Drosophila melanogaster: one gene and its partners. The protein of the gene in region 1 purifies or fractionates together with the protein of each later gene. This does not show direct contact. Each region holds a gene or a part of one and is shown in the gene's direction. Other genes may lie near its edges.

What was found.
Region 2: the proteins of qkr58E-3 (region 1) and SLIRP2 purify together in Drosophila melanogaster (affinity purification with mass spectrometry, with the first as the bait; one large-scale study listed by BioGRID). This does not show direct contact.
Region 3: the proteins of qkr58E-3 (region 1) and Lrpprc2 purify together in Drosophila melanogaster (affinity purification with mass spectrometry, with the first as the bait; one large-scale study listed by BioGRID). This does not show direct contact.
Region 4: the proteins of qkr58E-3 (region 1) and Syp purify together in Drosophila melanogaster (affinity purification with mass spectrometry, with the first as the bait; one large-scale study listed by BioGRID). This does not show direct contact.

The regions. Positions count from the first base shown.
Region 1 is NT_033778.4:22,408,528-22,413,879, reverse strand, and holds qkr58E-3 (quaking related 58E-3), read left to right. Parts: upstream 1-2,334; 5' UTR 2,335-2,430; coding exon 2,431-2,587; intron 2,588-2,646; coding exon 2,647-2,768; intron 2,769-2,828; coding exon 2,829-3,193; intron 3,194-3,251; coding exon 3,252-3,341; intron 3,342-3,483; coding exon 3,484-3,569; intron 3,570-3,859; coding exon 3,860-3,993; 3' UTR 3,994-4,672; downstream 4,673-5,352. Other genes in the region: qkr58E-1 (quaking related 58E-1), read left to right, coding at 540-685; PolE4 (DNA polymerase epsilon subunit 4), read right to left, coding at 1,505-1,791, 1,846-2,026; VepD (Ventrally-expressed protein D), read right to left, coding at 4,852-5,097.
Region 2 is NT_033777.3:8,649,025-8,652,404, forward strand, and holds SLIRP2 (SRA stem-loop interacting RNA binding protein 2), read left to right. Parts: upstream 1-2,059; 5' UTR 2,060-2,092; coding exon 2,093-2,368; 3' UTR 2,369-2,469; downstream 2,470-3,380. Other genes in the region: Mkk4 (MAP kinase kinase 4), read right to left, coding at 1-23, 255-395, 454-1,295, 1,457-1,487; Dhod (dihydroorotate dehydrogenase), read right to left, coding at 2,489-3,380.
Region 3 is NC_004354.4:1,456,231-1,462,565, reverse strand, and holds Lrpprc2 (Leucine-rich pentatricopeptide repeat containing 2), read left to right. Parts: upstream 1-1,948; 5' UTR 1,949-2,007; coding exon 2,008-4,303; intron 4,304-4,364; coding exon 4,365-5,287; 3' UTR 5,288-5,391; downstream 5,392-6,335. Other genes in the region: Ns3 (nucleostemin 3), read left to right, coding at 1-193, 254-472; CG14787 (uncharacterized protein), read left to right, coding at 921-1,703; CG14785 (uncharacterized protein), read left to right, coding at 5,620-6,335.
Region 4 is NT_033777.3:20,788,199-20,793,453, forward strand, and holds the start of Syp (syncrip), read left to right. Parts: upstream 1-1,787; 5' UTR 1,788-2,010; coding exon 2,011-2,134; intron 2,135-3,546; coding exon 3,547-3,665; intron 3,666-3,738; coding exon 3,739-4,051; intron 4,052-4,115; coding exon 4,116-4,357; intron 4,358-5,255.

The DNA.
Region 1 (5,352 bases):
AAAAAGAAACAAGGCCGCGTACCAAAATTATTAAAACGGCAACCCATCCCATTTTAACAAGATTTTAAATGCACTATGCCTGAACAGAGGCCAAATCAACTAAACCGAACAGCAACCAGTAAATCATCTTCATTAATTGGACGACTACTAACATACTCACAAGAAGCCAGAGCCAAAATATTAAAACAATCGATCAAACAATCAAATTACTGAAATTCACACTTTGAAAACAAAACCATAAAACTTCATGGCAAGAAACCCAAAAATATTTGAACATGCTTAAACTATAAAATCCAAGCTGAAAGGTTTGTGGAACAACTTTTTTTGAAACGTGATGAAACGAAATGCATTTTACTCAAAACAATAACGTTTCGTAGGGTGTAGTGCATTCAAAACCGGTTAAACAATATATTTTTCTTTTTTTTACAATGTATATATGCTAAGCAAAAGAAAAACCAAAAACCAAAAAACAGCACCACAGAGACAGAACAAGAAACAATTTAAAGTCTAAACAACAAATAAAATTCTTTTCAAAATAGCAAAACCAAGCAACGGTCGTTCATCATCGTCATATCGACCAACCACCTCGGGCTCGGGATCACATTCATCTGCTCACTACGAAACTGGATCCCGATCTCGTGAAAGCGTGCGATATCGCTCGGCTCCATATCCGAAAATACGTTAACCCATCGATTTTCCAAAACCCCAAGAAACCAACCTCAACAACAACTACAACAACAACAACAACCACAACTAAACAATGTTAAGCGTAAAGATTAAAATATATTCCAACGAAATATCAAAATGTTTGAAGTCAACAATCCAACTATTCACACCTATTAAATATAATATATAAACGAAAATCAAATAAAAAACGTAAATTTTTATTGCAACTGTTGTCCGATATTCAAATTGTGTTTAAAATTAAAACAAGAAACCAATAATGCAACAAATTTTATCCTCAAAAAGATTGTAAAAACAAAAGACATACTTCAATCAACCTAATACTAGTTAAAGCCAATACGAGAAGAGAACTAAACACAAGCGAAAACCCCCCCAAAACAATTAATTTATCAAAGCATAATTTTAGACTAAGCTTGAAAATATTGTTTCATAAGATAATGGAGATAAAACCAACATAAAAAGCAAAATATAAACTACAAATGTATGTGCCCAACGACAAAGTAAGTATCGCCTGCGGACAGAGTATGATTAACAAACAACAAACCACACTATTCAGCAGTTAAATAAATTAACCAAATGCCGGCTTCGTTACAAATTCCGAATAGCAAAGAGTATTGTGAAACGTTAAACGTTGTCGTTTATAATTATGATTTCTTTTTTGTTTTTTTTTCTTTGCGAATCAACAATTGTTTTATAACTTAAATATTATTTTTAACATAAAACCATAAGGACGTTTAGAACTGAATTTGTTTGCCGCTGAATATCCCTAAATAAAGTATAAAAGTATAATCGACAAATCCAGTTTCATTTGTGGGGGTGTTCAAAAGTTCATGGCTCCATCAAGGAATAGCAAACTGTCCACAGCAGAAATGGCCATATCCACGTCCCTCTTTTGTATGGTTTTCTTTTTGGACTGCGCCGTGTAGGTATATGATTCCCGTGACAACGAGGCTATGAATAGTTCCACTGCCTTCGCCACTATGAACACGGCCTCATTGTTGGCCATATGCAGATCCGGATCTAGTTTCATTATGTTCCGTATCCTGGCCAACGGCAGTTGTGTCATCTTGGCTTCGTTATCAGCAGGGGCCTTGTTGCCATTCGTCACTGGAAGGAAAGGAGCCATATAGGAGAAATTCTATCTAAGTGCATCTAACTTACCTGGTTTTTCTGTCAATTGTTCTGTTGTAGATTCTGCCTCAGGATTATCCGGCGATTCCTCGGTGATTTCCAAAGGCTCTTCTGTTTCCGCTAGCTCCGCCTCCTCAGTCTCCATGGCCTGCTGATGCTCCAAGTCCTGTTCTTCCGAGAATTCAGCCTCAAATAGTTCCTCGCTGGCCATTGCGCACTATAAAAATTGAAAACAAACCAAGCGAATGCAATCCAAATACCATATTTTTAGAGATGAGTATCAAGGCAGCCGCCAAAAATATCGATATTGCACCATGTATGAAATCGAAATGGTGGCAGCTCCGCTATCTTCTCGGCGAAGCTCCTTACTAACAGATTTAACTTTTTAAAATAATCTATAGTAATTGTACTACTTCTGTGTTTCAAACACGACATTTTGTACACAGTGGAAAAAATCGACATTTAAACAATCACTATTGAATTAAAAAAGTTGGCAGCCCGAAAACTTCACACGCTTGGCAGCTCTGCCATTATTTTAGTTCATTGGTGTACATACTGTTTTTCAGTCTACACCATTTTTAATTGTAATTTTCTGTAAAGATTGTTATGATAAAAATGGAAACCCCAAGCGAGTTTACTGAGAAACAGCCACCCACCCACGATCACCAGCCGCGTCTTAACGAGGTGGCCCAAAAGTTTCTCGCCGATTTGGACGAGGAGCGCCAGCGATTGTCCGCGGACTTTCCACTTTGCGCACTGCTAATCGACGAGGGTAAAATCAATTTGGCCCTTTTACAGGGTATTTTAATGGTACTAATCCCAATATTGCAGCTGTGGACCGTGTCTACTGCACTGGTCGTATTCCCGGAAAAGAGTTCTACGCAGACGTGTACAAGCAGAAGCCGATGAAGATTACCCAAAAGGTCTTCGTGCCCGTAAAGCAGTATCCCAAGGTGGGTTTATACAATTAGCTGTCCTCTCCGTTCGAAAAATAAATCCGTACCCTTGCGCAGTTCAACTTCACTGGCAAGATCCTGGGGCCCAAGGGCAATTCGCTGCGTCGCCTTCAGGAGGAGACCCAGTGCAAGATTGCCATTAAGGGTCGCAGTTCGATCCGCGATCGTAACAAAGAAGAGCAGCTGCGCAGCACAGGCGACCCGAGATATGCTCATCTTCAGAAGGACCTATTTTTGGAGGTCAGCACGGTGGCCACTCCGGCGGAGTGCTATGCCCGCATAGCCTACGCTCTGGCCGAGATCCGTAAGTATCTTATTCCAGACAAGAACGACGAGGTTTCACACGAACAGCTGCGCGAGCTGATGGAAATGGATCCCGAGTCAGCCAAAAACATTCACGGACCGAATCTGGAGGCCTACAGGTAATCTTACACCCTATGCAGCCTTTGGGCATGAGAATAAAAATATATTATTTTGCAGATCTGTCTTCGACAAGAAGTTTGGAGGCAACAGCAATGGGGCTCCCAAATACATCAACCTGATTAAGAGAGCTGCGGAAAATCCGCCCGAGTAAGTTACTTGTAAAGTATAATTTTGTATTATTTAATGACCCCACCAGGAGTAATGGAACCGAGAGTCCTCGCGTCATAGTAGTGCCTTAAATCCTAGCCAACATCTGTTAACCCAGCAATTAACATTTTCATTTTTATAGAGTCGACGATGTGGAGGAGGTGGCCTATGAGTATGAACATCGTATGCCCCCCAAGCGTCCGCCTACGGGCTATGAGTACAGCAAACGTAAGTTAATCCCAAGCATGCATTCTTTATTTGGGTAGTGCCGGGGTCTATGACATAAGATCGATTTTTCCCCTGAATGCACCAGTTTTTTGGGATGCACCTTTGACAGGAACTTTGGGTTATAGATTAGATTAGATCATACTATCAAAACCAATAACTGTGATTGAGCAAGCTCTCAGATCAAACTATATAATACACTGGAATGATTAATATTATGCAACGATTCACTCCTTTATAGTAATTACATACACGCATAAAATACTACAAATAATAATCAACCAATTTTATAGCACGTCCATCAATAATACCGACAAACGCAGCGGCATATAAACGTCCATATCCGACTGACATGAAACGTATGCGCGAACCGCCCATCAAGTCCTATAAGCCCAATCCGTATACAATACTTAAAAAATATAAATAATAGAGCTCCGGTTGATTTCGTCGCACACCGCTATAAATGAAAACAAAGGACAATGCTTACGTTATAAAATCCATGCTGGGAGCACATTGAAAATACTTTAATCAAGAAGAAAGCAGCATTCAAAATGATGCTATCAATTAATAAACATTAATATTTATAAAACGCGCACTTGCGCTATCAATTCCCACAAACAATATTAATCTTAAATTTGTATATCCATAAATATGTTAAACTGTTGGCATGCCTTTTCTGGACCATTTCAACAGATAATAAGTCAAATAATTCCTATTATGTTTAAATTATGATTTCCCGAGTTCGTAATTTTCTATGAATGTAATAAAATGATACGCATTGAATGAATTTAATAAATTCTCTGCAATCAGATCTAACTATCCTATTCTTTTAAATGACTCGACCCCTCATTTACCATGAATATATGCATTACGTAATTAAACAATTGTCTCACTAGCAGTAGAATCAAGAGGTTTATATCTAATGAAATAAAACCGTGCGAACTTATCACATTGTTTAATCAAAAAAAAAAAAAAAAAAAAAAAAAACGAAATGAAGATCACATCAAGACCTTAAAGTGCGTCTAAAAATAAGTTAATAAACTATTATAAATTTATAAATGAAAAAGAAAAAACATTGAATAAACATATAAAGAGTTTGCATAACTAAAATATTTCAGGTTTTTTCAAAGTATTATTTTATTTTAAATCTGATGGGTAAGTAGCTTAAGTTTAACTGTTAATGTCTAAAGTAAGGCTATAAAGTTAATAAAGGCTTAAAACAAATGTCTGTCTATCTTTGGATATATTTTCTATCAGGGATATGGTTTTCTTTTGTGTTGTTCAACTAACATTGATATTGCAAGGGCCTCCCAGTGAAGCTGGCTATCCAGAACTTCTTCCTTATCTCATATTCATTGGCTTCTGTGGAGCGTGTATGTTCCTGGGCTTGTAATCTTAGCAGGATTCTCTGATAGACCTCATACGCAGTTTGGGGCTGTCCACAACGACTGTTGCCGCACTGCTCAGAGAACTGTGGCTCCTCGACGTAAGTATCCTCGATCGAAAAAGGATTCTCGCTGTGCGGTATCATCTGAATGATATGGATGTCTCAGGCCTGATTCTTGACACAACTGATAGGCGAGCACTCACCTTGGCTTTTTTCACTGACGCTGATTTACTCCGCTGACTAGATGTGTGTCCTGGCCGCTATGCAGTTGACAACTGATCCGGAAGGCGAAGTAGTCGCTTGAGGCTTGTGCCACCACCATAAGTACCACCCTTAGAAGCCACCATATGGTTGCCAGGCCCTGCGCACGTTGCGGAATTCCTCCTCCCACTCTTGCGC
Region 2 (3,380 bases), on another chromosome or scaffold:
CGCGGCGGTTCGCCTTGCACAACCTTGAATGTTAATATTATGAAAAAGTCATTAGCCAAAGAAAATTAGCTTCAGATATTATGATAATTTACTATATGAAAGACAATACGATAAGACAATCAGCAAATAAAATGAGTCATTAGTCAATGCTTATCTCTATTAGATTATTCCTAATGACGAAAGGGAACAAGACGAACGATATTTGTATCTCATTTTAAAAGAAAAACTATCCTATTAAAATGTTTTATGTTTACCTGGCACAACTGCTCGAAAACAGAGTCCCATTTACGATAGGGGAAATTACCAGTCGCCACCTCCATTAATGTGATGCCCAATGACCAAACATCGCTTCGTACATCGTAGCCCTTGGCACGTTCTGGATCAATGCGCTCCGGCTGCACAAATGCATACAATTGCGGTAAAAATGTTGTGAAATCAAATGACAATCATTACCGCCATGTAGGGCCTGCAGCCCGCATCCTTGGTCTTGGCAATAGAGTCGACCAGCTGACCCGAAATACCAAAATCGCACAGCTTTATGTCTCCGCGACGGTGCAACAGAATGTTGCTCGGTTTCACATCCCGATGGATAATCTTTAGCTCCTCCTTCAAATAGTTCAGCGCATTGACCGTGGCCACTGTTATCTTAGCCAGTATAGACTCTGGAATGTGGCGCTGCTGCTTTTCGTAGATGTACTTGTAAAACTTGTCCAAAGAGGTGTCCATCAGCTCCATACAAATCCAGCAGTCACCCTCCTTGAAAAGCGCCCCATAGAACTGAACAATGTAAATGCACTCGTTGGACTTCATGACCACCTCGAGATCCATGAGCAGCTGCTTCTGTTCCTTCTCGTCTACGGTGGATCGAATGCGCTTGACGGCCATCACCTTGTCCAATTTCTTAAAGGTCATCTTGTTGACTGCCCCAAATGCACCGCGTCCAATTTCGCCCTCATCCTCGAGATCGTCTGAAGTAAATGTGTGTGTATTAGCGCCGCCCTCACCAAACTGTAGCTTGCCACAGGCCTGCTGGCGAATTCGCTCCCGGTGACGATCGGCAGCGCTGCTGCTCGATGCTGCCGGCACCGGTGGCACTTGACTGCTGGCCACCGGCGGGGTTTGCTGTGGCTGCTGGGCACCAAAACAGCGGGTCACATGGTTGTGCTGTGATGAGGAACTTGAGCCCGAGGAGGTGGATCCCGAAGAAGTGGACGACGTGGACGAGGGCGGATGGCGTATGCTAAGATTATTCAGGCTTAGCTGATCCGGGGGATTGCGGGAGCGACTGGATCCGGCTGGAATGTGTGGGAAATGGGAGAATTTAGGAGGCTTCATAGATGGCTTATCGCCGCTGCACCAGATTTCCAAACTATGCGTCACCCAGCGAGTATGTGGTCCTCTTCGGCTGCATGTGTATGACCTGCGTGGGCGGTTCGAGACCAAAGGGGTAACTCACTTGCAAACAAATTTTTCGGTCGTTCGGCCATTGTGTGTGGTGGCTGAAAGTATCGATGCGCCTTTGTGTGGCTGTCCTAAGGATGTTTTGTCCGTTTTCTGCAGGCGCCGCGCCCCGAATACAACACGTCGACTTGATGCTCCTTTGGCCCTCCGATCGCCTGGTTACTGGGCCGCCTTTGATGGGCTCTTCGCCGTTTGCAACGCAACTACTTTTTCAGCAATCGAGCGCACTGATATGCACTTTTTCCGCAATTTCGCTAAACATTTACATAAATAGCAACCAAAACTTAAAAGAGCTAGAGATGAAACATTGATTATTTGCGGCCAATCGATAGCCATCGATAGTATGCGCACTAGCTTGCGATAAGCAGTCCTGCAAGGTGCAAAAGTAGTGAGGTGGGTAATAAAACGAATATAAAAATGTCACCTATAAATAATTATTTCTTTAAAACCAAGAGATTTGAGTTTCTATTTTTCACAAATTAATCCCAGCTTTGTTAAAGTTTTTACTAGTTGAAAAGTTACATTTCGTCAATAAGTGACGTCGACGCCTACATAAACCAATCTGCGCCACCTTAAAATCAATGCACAATCACCAGTGATTTAAAACCAGAAAATTAAAACATACATAATCATGTCCAGCGGATTTGTTCGCAGCAGCTACAAATTGTTCGTCGGCAACCTGCCATGGACGATAGGTAGCAAGGAACTGCGGACCTACTTCTCAAAGTACGGGCACGTGGCCAACGCGGAGGTGGTCTTTGACCGGCAACTGGGCCTGTCCAAGCACTATGGCTTTGTGGTTTTCAGCCAACGGGATGCCTTCAACAGCGCCAGCAACCAGAACACCCATTTCCTCGATGGACGAGTGCTCACAGTCCAGCGGGCGAATGAAAGTCCTCAGAGTTAATCAATGAAGAATTTAATGATTTATTGGTTAGACCAAAGGAAAAGCATGAGAAATGTTTGTTAACAGCTTAGTTTTACACAAATGAATGCAGCACTTGCTTCAAATCGTGGCATCTTTGATTCATTTGGGCAAGTAGAACTTGCTGTTGGTGCCCACCACGTCCGCAACATTAGTGTGACCCAGCCGTGTGATCAGCGCCGACAGCTCCGCCTTAATGTCTTCCACAAGAGCGGGTCCCTCGTACACTAAAGCCGTGTAGATTTGGACGTAGGAAGCTCCAGCTTCGATCTTTTCGTATGCATCATAGCCGGAAGCCACTCCGCCGACGCCTATGATGGGAATCTTTCCATCGGTGAGCTGGTACATCTGGGCGATCATCTCTGTGGAGCGGGCCTTGAGTGGAGGACCACTTAATCCGCCAGTTTCCTCGGCCAGCTTGTTCTTTTCGATGTTTTCCCGCGACACCGTGGTGTTTGAAACGATCAGGCCATCCACGCGGCTCTTCTTGCGCTTGATTACCCACACGATGTCCTTCATGTCGTCCAAAGATAGATCCGGCGAAAGTTTCAAGAGTATAGGCACATTCTTGTTCTTATCCAGGGAGGATTTCGTGTCGTTGACCTGTTCCAGGAGCTCTCTTAGCTTCTCCTTGCTCTGCATATCGCGCAGGCCCTTGGTGTTCGGACTGCTCACATTAATGACCAGGTAGTCTGCTACGGGCCCGAAAACCCGAACACCCTGTACATAATCCGCTATCGGGCTCATGGTGGTCTTGTTCCGGCCCAGATTCACGCCCACAACTCCATTGAAGTTCTCCTTTTTGCGGAGCAAGCGCAGCCGTTGGAGCACGGCCTGATGCCCGTCGCTATTAAATCCGTACCGATTAATGATGGCCTTGTCCTCGGTCAACCGGAATACTCTCGGCTTGGGATTGCCCTCCTGAGCCGCCGGGGTAACTGTGCCCACCTCTATAAATCCGAATCCTAGATCCTGCAGGCCGTCCACCGCCTCC
Region 3 (6,335 bases), on another chromosome or scaffold:
TATGACCTCCAACGGGCAGCCGGATCAGGCGCGTTCCGCCAGGTATGTGCTTAAAGACTACGTCAATGGCAGACTGCTCTACGCCATGAGCCCGCCCTCTGTACCGCAGACCGAGTATCACACCTTTCCCGAACGCCAGCGCAGGGTCATCGAGGAATCACAGCTGCCCGGCCAACAGCAGCGAGCCATGCGGGTGAGATTTGCCCTTTGCACTAGACGTGATTCCTTTGCTAACTGATCGCGTTTTCCGCAGATCAACAAAAGCACGTCCAAGGAGCTAGACAACCAATTCTTCTCCGACAAGCCTACGCACGCCCACGTCAAAGGACGCACTAACTTCCCTAACGTGCGCCTGGCCAACGACGGGTCCCTAGTAGCCGGCAATGATCCGGCGGCCAAGCCCTGGCGTCATGTGAAGAAGGAGAGGCGCGAGAAGCTGCGCAAAAAGTTCTCGCACCTGGACGAGCACTGATTGTAGCCCATTAGTTATTTATTCCGAAGGGTGTGTCTAAGAGGCACTTGTACATTTTAAGCATTAAACCTACGTATATACATATATATTAAAGTCCCCCCGACTTCGAGAGTTTGAAGGCCCACAATCTCAGACTGAAAGAGTTATATTGCGCAACTAGCAGATTGAGAGAAACATAGATAAGCCATCTGATGGCCCAGCCTGGACACAACGATTAACACAAAGATAGCATATATTTAGCATACACACCAATGAAAGCAAACTGTTGTTGGAATGGCGCCCCCAATTGAGTTTAAGAGATGCGTGAATGGAAGGTAATTTCGAGATGCGGAGGAGCGCAGTTGCGCGGAGAAAAGAAGCCTGCACTTTGACCGCGTGATAAGCGCAGATGCTTACGGCTCTTGTCTTCTATCACTTGGCCACAGTCTCTATCACGCAGTCTTCAGCGATGGCCACAAACGAGAGCTGCAAGCACTTCAGGGAGCTGGTCGTCGAACAGCGTTCTGGGCTGCTCCACATACGCTTCCAGCGGCGCTGGCAACGCCGAACCCTCTACGAGCTGATGCGCGCCCTGGACCTGGCGAGTGCAGACGCCGCCGTTAAGGTGGTCGTGCTCTCGGGCGAGTTTTCTGCAGCATGTGGCGGTGAGATGGAACCGTTGGCTCTCAAACAGGGTCTGGAGAATAGGAGTAGGCGTACCGCTTCCCACGAAGAAGCTGTGGGCAGTGGTGATGCCGAGGAGCAGTACATCCATGAGAAGGCGGCCAATTTTGTGATGCGCTCGCTGGCCAAGAAGCTGCTTGTGCACCGCAAACTCCTAGTGGCTTTTGTGGAGAGGCAGTGCGTCGGTCTGGGCCTGAGCGTGTGCAGCCTGTGCGATCTGGTCTTCGCAACGGAGTTATCTGCCTTTGTGCCCGCTTTCTCGCACCTGGATCCCTGCACCAAGGTGGGTCCCGGCTGGACTGTGCCACACGTCCACTGGCTGCTTCGTCTGGGCGATCAAGCGAGCTCCAGCATTGCCCTCCAGTGTGGCCTTGTGGCCAGTGTGGTGCGAGAGCCGCAGGAGTTTTGGCACCGCGTCGACCAATACTTGCGCTTGCCTTCCGCCTCCCTGTTGGCGACAAAGCGCCTCCTGTTTCGTCCCTGGCAGGACTCCCTCTTGGCCGAATTGCGCGAGGAGGGCACTCCGCTGGCTGCGCAGCGACGCCGCTTGGCCAGATCCTCGCTGTAGGGTTGCGCTTCCAGATCCGTTGAATCGATTAAGTAAATAAATAGCGATTATAAAATAATGACATGTCCCCATGGTATTTCTTTTCATTCCTTTCATTGGAGCTCCATGACTTAACTTAAACTTTAAATCAAAATCTGCAACGGAAACGGGTATGCATATACAGATGGGCAGCACTGTTTTCGATATCTTTCGACTGGAAGGCACAGCTGATTGCCGGCGCGTGTTGTTTTTTTTTTGTTGCTCGCCGCAAAACTGCGAAAGTAAAATCTCGTAATTTTGGGGAAGATTAATTAACTTGGGCAAAATGCAGCGAGCACGACTGTTGCGGAACGTGTGGCTCTGCAGGCAGCGCTTGGGCCATCTGCCAGGACGCAGCGCTTCCTCCGCCAGCCTGGCATTCCGTTATGCAACGAAGCCTGCGGCGCCAGCGGTGCCGTTCTCGCTGCTCCAGATGCGATCCCTGGGAACGGGTGGCGTCCTCAGTGCGGTGGAGCGAAGAAGCCGGCGCCCCGCCTCCTCCTCTGAAAAACCGAAAGCCAGCGTGGCGGATGCGTGGACACAGCTGGAGGCGTACTACCGGCAGCACGATCTGATCAACTTTGAGCACTGCCAGCGCCTGCTGGAGCTCCTGCAGGAGTCTGCGTCGCCGCTAGGAGTCGGCATCGAAGAGGTGCACTTCCTTCTAGGGTCCTGTGTGCCCGAACTGCTTCCTGCTCAGAGCAGCCAGGAGCGTCTTCAGCTCTTCAAGGGACTCTGGGCTCAACTGATCAAGTTGGGCCAGCCCACGCTGGCACATTACCACACGAAGCTCCAGGTGCTGCGCCAGAACCGTTTGCCTCTGACTGACTATCGCTCGTTGCTGGCGGAGATTGCCGTCTACCATGGAGCAGCCGATTCCACCTTGTACGGCGCTCTTTTGGACGTGGCCGGCGCCGCCGGAAACATGCGCATGGCCACCGAGATTTTGTCGGAGATGCGCGAGCGCAGCCTCGCCCTCACGGAGCACAACTTTCACGCCCTGCTTTTGGGCCACGCCCGCAGCGGTGATCTGCCCGGGGCGGAGTCCGTCCTAGCCAGCATGCGGGCCGCAGGAATACAGCAAGGCAGCAGCACTCAGGCCATTTGGTTCGAGGCTCTGCTGGAAAACGGTCAGTTGGCACAGGCCAAGGAGCTGCTGCAGGTGGAGCACGGATTCACCGCCCCTCAGCTGCTCCAGATGCTGCGGGGTCTGCTCGCCAGCAAGGATGTCGACACGGATCTAATCCAACTGCTTGTCAAGGAACTGCCCCGCGAGTTTCTAACAGGTATCGACCTGCCGCCCGCCATCAGAAGCCTGTGCATTCAGCTGGTGCACCAAGGACGCACCGAAGTCGTCATACAGCTCGTAGGTGCGTTGCCCGCTCCGAAGTTCGAGTTGCAGAATCAGAACGTGGATGAGTACGGTGCACTTCTGCTGCAGGAGTTCTTCCGCGCCCAAGTTCCGTTGGACCAAACAATCCAGTTCGCCGGTCAACTAGTGCAGCGGAACCAGAACGTCCGCGCCCTGCATTTGGTGGCGGAGTTGGCCCTTCGCCGTCAGCCATCATCCGCGCTACGCTGCCTGGAGGATCTATCTGCAGCCGGCGAGGAACTTCGTCCGCATTACTTCTGGCCCCTGATCTTGCACCATTACCGGCGGGAGGGCGAAAGCGGCATGCTACGCCTGGTTTCTGAAATGCGGCGCCTGCGCGTTGAGTGCGACGAGGAAACGTTGCGGCACTACCTGTTTCCCCACCTGCGCCAAACCCTGGTGCAGCCCTTGGAGGCCGTGAAGGCACTTGAATCGGCGGGGGTCAAGCCTTCCCAGACCCTGTGCCCGGTTGTGAGCCACTTGCTGCAGCAGCATCAGATGTCCGAGGTGCTGGACTTGCTTGATCGGTATCCGACACGCTTGGACCTGGCCACGCTGCTCCAACCACTTTCTTCGCTGGCGGTCAATGCCCGTGCCACGAAGCGTTTCGAGGTATTTGCCAAAGTGATCCAAGCCCTGCAGCAGAAGGCACTCAAACGGGGAGAAGATTTTGTGGGCTCCTTGCTGCTGCAAATGACTGGACCTCAGACGCGTCTGCGCCAGGATGCCACCTCGTTGCGACGTTTTCTGCACGAACTGAGACGCCTAGAGCTACAAATCTCACCCGCTGCCTCCGAAGCTCTACTCTCCGTGGTCCGGCACGCCACTGATGACGTTGACCTCATCCAGGATCTGGCCAAAACGCTGCAGAAGATGAAAAACCCACAGCTCGCCCTGCCAGCTGACACGGTCTCGCTCCACGGAGGCTTCATCAAGCACCCGCGCGACATGAGCATAGACGAGCTCGAGTGCCACCTAGTCGAGCTGGAGTCCAAGCAGCTGAACCCGCGAGGCGTGTTGCGTCGCTTGCTGCAGCTCTCGGTGCGCAGTGGGCGCTTGGAGCGCGCACAGCAGCTGTTGGCCAAGTGCCAAGTTCTGAAGGTTCAGGAAAGCGCAGGCATGATGGCCTCCATATTCGACCTACACATCAAGCTGCGCGACTTGCCGCGCGCCCAGGAGAGCTTGGAGCGACTGAGCAGCATGTATCCAGGTACCTAACAACTTACTACTAGATGTGAACTGCATTAATCCGCATACCGTTCTCTCTTAAGCCTTTCAGATTGACGAGCACAAAGTGATCGACTATGCCGCCCTCCTGGTCCAAGGCCAGCAGCTGGAGGCCGCAAAGCAGCTGCTCCAGCGACGCGCGGAGCAGCATAAGGTTGTCGGTGGCGACTATGTGATGAAGAACGTATGGCAATTGCTGACCAACGTGGGCCAGCTGGCCGCCTCTTCACATGCAGGTGGCGAGAGCTCCAAACAACTTAACCAGACTCGCGAGTGGTTGGACTTCCTCAGGGGTCTGGGCTACTGTCAATCGCAAAATGCCCTACTGGGACCAGTGGTCCGCGAGTGGCTGTTGAAGGGCAACTTGGACGCTGCGGTGGCCGAGTTTCAGCGACTGGCTAACACTCACAAGCACACGCCTCTGCAGTTCGAGCTCTTGTCCCTGCTGGTGCGACTGGGCAACGGGGACGAGCAGGAGCTGACCCGTTTTCCCGGCGTCACGGCCGAGTCCGCGCAGCAGCACCTAGCGGTGGTTACTGCGACTGTGAGTCGCATCCACGGAGCGGCCAATATGAACAGCGCTCTGCTGCTCGCCCTGGCCGAATCCGGAAAGGAGACACAGCTGCGCCGGCTGATCATCAACCCAGAGTTCCGCATCAACCACGAGCTCCTCGTGAAGAATTGCGAGCACTTGGGACAGGAGGGCGCTGTGCGGACGCTCCTGCGGCTGGCGCGCGGAGTGAGGGGTGTCCAGCGGACCATAGACGAGCAGAAGATCTACGACCTCCTGTTGGCCCAGTTCTGCCGTAGCAACGACTACGAGGCGGCGTTGGATCTCTTTGAGCGCTTGGAGGCCGACGACGAGCTGAAGGTGTCGCATGAGTTCCTTCGCAACCTTGTGCAGCTGCTGCAGGTGAACCAGGTTGAAATTCCCAGTACAATCGCCCTGCGCGCCCACGTTAGATAGCCGGGCGACGAGATAGATAGATCGTCGCTCTTATCCTTAGTTATACACTTGGTATGTATGTACACACATAAATTAGTGCAGTAAATACGAGACGGTATACCTGCAAGTCTGAAAGATCTTTTATAGCTTCTGGGTGTCCTGGTGCCACGTCTAGTAGGCCTGGCTTTTGAAACCTATTGTCATCTGGAATCTGTGCTCCGAAACGGTCACAAAGTTTTCACTCGTAGCATACAACAGTCTCCTAACAGCTTCTCCGAAACCCACTCCCAATCTAAATTTTAGTTTTTATTCGCGTTCAATCTGTGCAAGTTGCAACCCCTCCCTATCCAACCATGAAGCGGCTGTCCCGACGTCCGGTCTCCGATGAGCAGAAGGCCCAGATGGGCAACCAGATTCATGAGCAGGGCGCAATAGAGGTATTCATGTCGGTGGCCACCGTCTCGCCGCTACTCCGAACGCGGGTCCTTCCGCAGCTAAAGGATCAACAGGATCAGCTGAAGGACAAAAAGCAGGACCGCAGGCCGAAACCGGAGCCAGAGAAACTCGAGAGCGGCGCTCAGGGCGACGCCGGTTCCGCTTCCTCGACGTCGGCCCACGCTGTAAAGCTCTTGCCAATCGAGGGAGATCCAGCCAAGCTGAAGGCGCTGACCAGCCGCCAGCAAATTGCCAGCCTGCTCAATCACCTCGGCGACGGCGCAGAGGGCGATGGCGAGGCCAAGCAGATCGTGATGGAGCTGCTCGGCAGCGGGGTGCAGCCGCACTCGGCCATCGAGCGCGTTTCCGAACAGCTGTTGCACGTGCTGCGGGAGCAGACTCTGATGGAGGCCGGCATATTCGTCGGCAATGAGCGGTATCGCTTCTTTAAGGGCGTGCTGCAGAACTACGCCAAGATATACGCGGCGCGCAAATTTATAGATAAGCTGCCGAAGCTAGATCAGCTTGGCCCGGATGCGGGTGCGGAGCGCGAGCTGTTCGCCCGCGTCGTTGCGGAGGAGGTGCTGCAGATCCCGCAGCTGCTGCGCCAGCTGAGGTCGTCCCTGTCGAAGAT
Region 4 (5,255 bases), on another chromosome or scaffold:
TCGGCTAGTCTGGAGTTATTTTTGTGCCTTAAATCGGCTTAACTGGCCTGGCCGGCGGAGTTGTAGTTGCGGCTCAGCTGGGCCCGAAGGGTTCTGAAAATCAATAACCCCCAGCAAGGTTGTGCTATAGAGAGCCCCATTGTTGTCGCCGTTGTCCATGGCAATAACATTTAAATGGCTAGGGCTTCTTGAAATTCAAATTGCGAAAGCACAAACTTTAACACTTCCTCAATGCCACGGCGAGCAACCCCTGGACTATAGCCAGCCGCCACCATCCTAAAGATACTCATAGTTTCTGCAGTCTACAGTCAGTCTGGCTTCGGTTGACAGAAACAGGGGCGGAGTTGCCAATTTGCCATTGGGGAGATCTTGTAATTCTAGACCAGACTGCTGCCGGCGGCGACGTATTGTCTGGCAGACGGACGCGAGTGACGAACAAATGTGGCAAAACGATTTATTTGGCTTTATCAGCAATTTTTGATTCTCCTTTGTCTCCCATTGAAAAAGCGCCGCATTAAGTGCTCCGCCTGCGTTTGCGGCGATTTGTCATATCGCTGATTTACTAACCTTACACCAGGCATTATCTCTTGGCAAAGGAGGCCGAATCCGAATCCGAGTCCGGAATGGCGGGGGAGAGGTGGAATCCGGGGCGAATCACCCCTGCTAGCAGCTAGAGGGTGACTTTTTCTGTTTTTTTTTTTTTTTTTTTTATACAACCGAGGGTGTAACTAACCGACACAAGTGCAAGAAGGCAGGATATGCCAGGATATGCATGTGTGTATGTATGGCTGGCTGTGTATGTTTGCGCATATCGCCGGCATCAACATCAAATTTATTGAGGTAGTTGCCAAGCGGCTCTGGCAAACAAAACGAGCATGCAAAAAGGAATGTTCTTTAACATGCAAACGTTTCTTTGTTTTTCCCCCATTTTAGCCGTGCTTCTATTTTTTCTGTACGAGTATATGCATGGGACAGAGTTGCCACCGCTGGGGCAAACAAGCGGCGACTACCCTGTTGCCATAACAAACATGCATAAAAAATGATGACTCGGGCTGGAAAAAAAAAGCACACACACAGTCCGGCAAGTGTTGCAAATTGAAAGCGGTTTTAGGCCAGGAGCCGTCACCTGAATAGCTTTGAGTTCGGGAGACCCAAGAATAAAGACTTAAATTGGCTGTGGTATGTGGCCAGTCATCCTGTTTTTTTTTTTGTTCAGTATGCACTTCCATATGCCATAGAAGCATTAGCATGGCAACTCAGCGTATAAGGAATACCATTTTATCGATATTTCACTGCAATCCTAATGGAATTTCCTGCATTGTTGTCTACTCCTTTCGACTGGCTCAATATCCATTGCCCATGTGTTTATTATTCATTTACTCGCTGTGCGCCGATAAAGCGCTTTTCCTGATTTTCCCGCCTTTCTCGCATCGCCAGCGCAACTTCATGACGCTCCCCCGGTGTTTGCCCTTTTGTGGGCTTCCCTGCGGTTGTCGCCAACACTTTTCACTTACAGCTCGCTGCGTTTTCGCGCCCAACAATCTAGATATACATACATGCATATAAATACATAGTATTTATGTGTTGGAGGGGCCTAGATAATGGGATATGTTTTTGTTGTTACTGGTTGACTGGTTCCGCTTATTGTTATAGTTGTCATAGCGCACATGGCATTCTGATGGCCCCACTGCAGTTGTCATAAATTTGTGGTCTTAATACTTGCACCACACCATTTTCAGGATTGCCACCTCAACAAAGTGGGTTCGGTTCGGTAACCCTTTCTAAATATCGATGCGTAGTTGGCCCTGCTGGGCGATTGTCAAAAGTTATTCCGTAATGTTTTTTGTTTCTATTCAGTTGTGAAAATTTTTCTCGTCTCTCGAATCGTTTCGGAACTATTGATTTTTACTTCAAAAATAAGAAAAAGCGAAAACAAATTCATTCACATTTGCAATCGAAATTCCAAGTCGCCTAAGGAAATTGAAAATTGTTAAATTGTTGCATTACGCGATGCTTTCCCAGATGGAAGCCTCCAAAGTGCAGAAGGATGAAGGGGGCGGCGAGGCTCTGAGCCGCACGATCCTCAAAACACCGTCTTCATTCAGGACCCCCAGCCCAATTCCCAGTTGCAGCAGTGAGTATTCCACGCCGCTGCAAAACACCCAATTGCCCCCGATATCAATCGCAAAGTATTTCAATGTCAGCGAAAACGAATCGAATGCCGGAGAATTAATGCGAAATTCGCAGAATGCCAGTGGAGAGAGCAGCAACAAACAGAAAAGATTTTAGAAATGTTCGGGTTTGCCCATAATTTTTGTGGGTCGCGCTCTATCGCTGGTTTGGCTCTCCCATTCTTGAACGATAGAGCTAGCTGATATTGCTGCTGTTTTTTTTTGTTTTTGTTTTTTTTTTTTTGCACATGTTACGCAATTATCGCTCTCGGCTAGTTGGGGTCCCTCGTTTTTATTTTTGCAGCTTGCTTCGTTTTTGTTTGAACGTCAAACACACACAACTTTCTATATGTATGTATGTACATACACATCGTACATATATATAATATACATACGAATATACGTGTACACGCGAATCAAAATAGCATTTGCTGATAGTGTGGCTGCTAAGGTAGCTTTCTATGCTGCGGCCTGTATAGGTGAGCGTTTGCCACTTGACAACTGTGGAACATTTGCATTTTCATTATGAGTGTGCCATAAATATTCATTTATGATAAATGCCTGTGTGCAGCTGCGGCTGCAATTGCAACGAAAGCGAACAGCTCTTGTTTCCGCAGCTCAACTGAATTTAGCCACGGAACAGATCATAAATAAATGTATTAGGCTGATTTAACATAGCAAATCACGTATACTACTACTTTTAGTCAATAAAACTACTAATACTAATCCAAGTCTAAAGTCCAGTAGCTTCAAACACGGCAAAAAGTGAACCCACTAGATTCATCAGCTGTTACCAGGGCAACTAATACGTCACGCTCTTGTGAGCGTGGCCGAACACATCGCGTATACGCAACACGTCACGCACAATTCGCAAATCGCGCCTCTTTTCGTTTGTTTACATTTTGGCCAATACGTTTTCATGCGGCTCCCTCTTTCTCTTCTCGTTTGCCTTTCTCCTTCTCTTGCCTTTCTCACGCACTTTTCGGTGCTCGGATGCGCGCTCTTCTGGATCGCAAATTTGTGCGTTTCGCATTTGTTTGGAGTCAATGAACTTTGTTGCTCGCTTTGTTGTCTCCTCTCTCTCCCATGCTCCCTGCTTTATCGCACTCCCCGTTTATCTCATTCCGCGAGTGCGTGCGACGGTGCGTAAGTTGCCAATTTTTCGTATTTCTCGTATTTCGCACATTCTCGCGACCCATTTTTTACCAAGCGCTCGCCGTTTGTGGCTATTTTGCGTTCGTTGAACTCTACAAGGTGATTTTATAGGTCGCACAATTTGTGGGTGCTCACTTGAATGTATGTTTCAAGAATATTAATATTTATGTATAAATACTCAATATATATTTATAACATTTTATTATCGTTGCACTTGCAGAAATGGCGGAAGGTAATGGCGAACTGTTGGATGACATTAACCAGAAAGCCGATGACCGTGGCGATGGCGAGCGTACAGAGGATTATCCCAAGCTGCTGGAATACGGTCTGGACAAGAAGGTGAGTGCTTTGAGAACCCAACACCACATGCCAACTATTACCAACATTTGCCACATGCAACATATGCTCCTAGGTCGCCGGCAAACTGGATGAGATCTACAAAACCGGCAAGTTGGCTCACGCCGAGCTGGACGAGCGCGCCCTGGACGCGCTCAAGGAGTTTCCCGTCGATGGTGCCTTGAATGTGTTGGGACAGTTCCTGGAATCGAACCTGGAGCACGTGTCAAACAAGTCCGCCTACCTATGCGGCGTGATGAAGACGTACCGACAGAAGAGTCGAGCCAGCCAACAGGGCGTGGCCGCGCCCGCAACTGTCAAAGGTCCCGACGAGGACAAGATCAAGAAAATCCTCGAGCGCACCGGCTACACATTAGATGTGACGACAGGTGAGAAACATTTTCAAGTACTGGAGAAACTTTTATCTAATACTATTACTTATACCGTACTCAGGTCAGCGTAAATACGGCGGACCGCCGCCGCATTGGGAGGGAAATGTGCCAGGCAACGGTTGCGAGGTTTTCTGCGGCAAGATACCCAAGGACATGTACGAGGACGAACTGATTCCGCTATTCGAGAACTGCGGCATAATCTGGGACCTACGACTCATGATGGACCCGATGACGGGCACAAATCGTGGTTATGCATTTGTCACATTCACAAATCGCGAAGCGGCCGTCAATGCAGTGCGACAGGTATTTAAGCCAACCACAGATCATCCATACCACCAACCACCAGTCCAGCCCAGCCCAGCCCACCTGAAAACCCAGTCTCCCCAATGAAAACCCCACCCCATCCGACCCTGACCACCAAATCAGTTTGATCCCCGCTTCAATGTTTTTACGTATTGCTAACTCTTAAGACCTATACAAATATCCTATATATATACATATTTAACGTATTGTATCCACATATTTACTATCGTGTTATAACACATCGGATGAAGTAGGAACAGTTATGCGGCCAAAGCAAAATTCAAATATTTGAAATTCTCCACAGCAAGAGCGAAAAATTACCGATTTGATCACAACCGATTTGGCGCTTTTAGATCCGACCATGAGAAATTCTGCAATTCCATTTAGTTTTTAACGTATGCTTACTTTACCTCTCTGCCTTTGCTATTAAGAATTCGAACTATGGGCAACGCTATCTGTCTCACTCTCTCGCTGTCTCTCTCTACTTGATCTTTCTGTAACTTATGTAATGCATGTCCCGTCTCCTATGAGTTGTAATCTTGATTTACGCAAACGAATCTCTACAGCGCCCTAAAATCGTTCAAATTGCAAGTTTGAAAAGAGTTCTCTCCTCTTCGAATAAAAGATTTGGCCTCCTCCCTGATAAATCACACAACCCCCTACCCTCCTCTCTCTCTCTATCGTCTCTATATCTGTTCTACTTCCTTTTTAGTTGAATTTTCTCTTGTCTTAAGCTCAGCTATGTAGCTATCAACTTTTGTAGACAACTTAGCAGCGTACGTTCAAAAATCTCACTGTCTGGTTTTATTTAGACGAGCATGACCAAAAATCTAGACCATGATATTGGGAGGCAAGACACGTTGCCTCCATATATCACCTGCCCTAACCAGTTAACCAC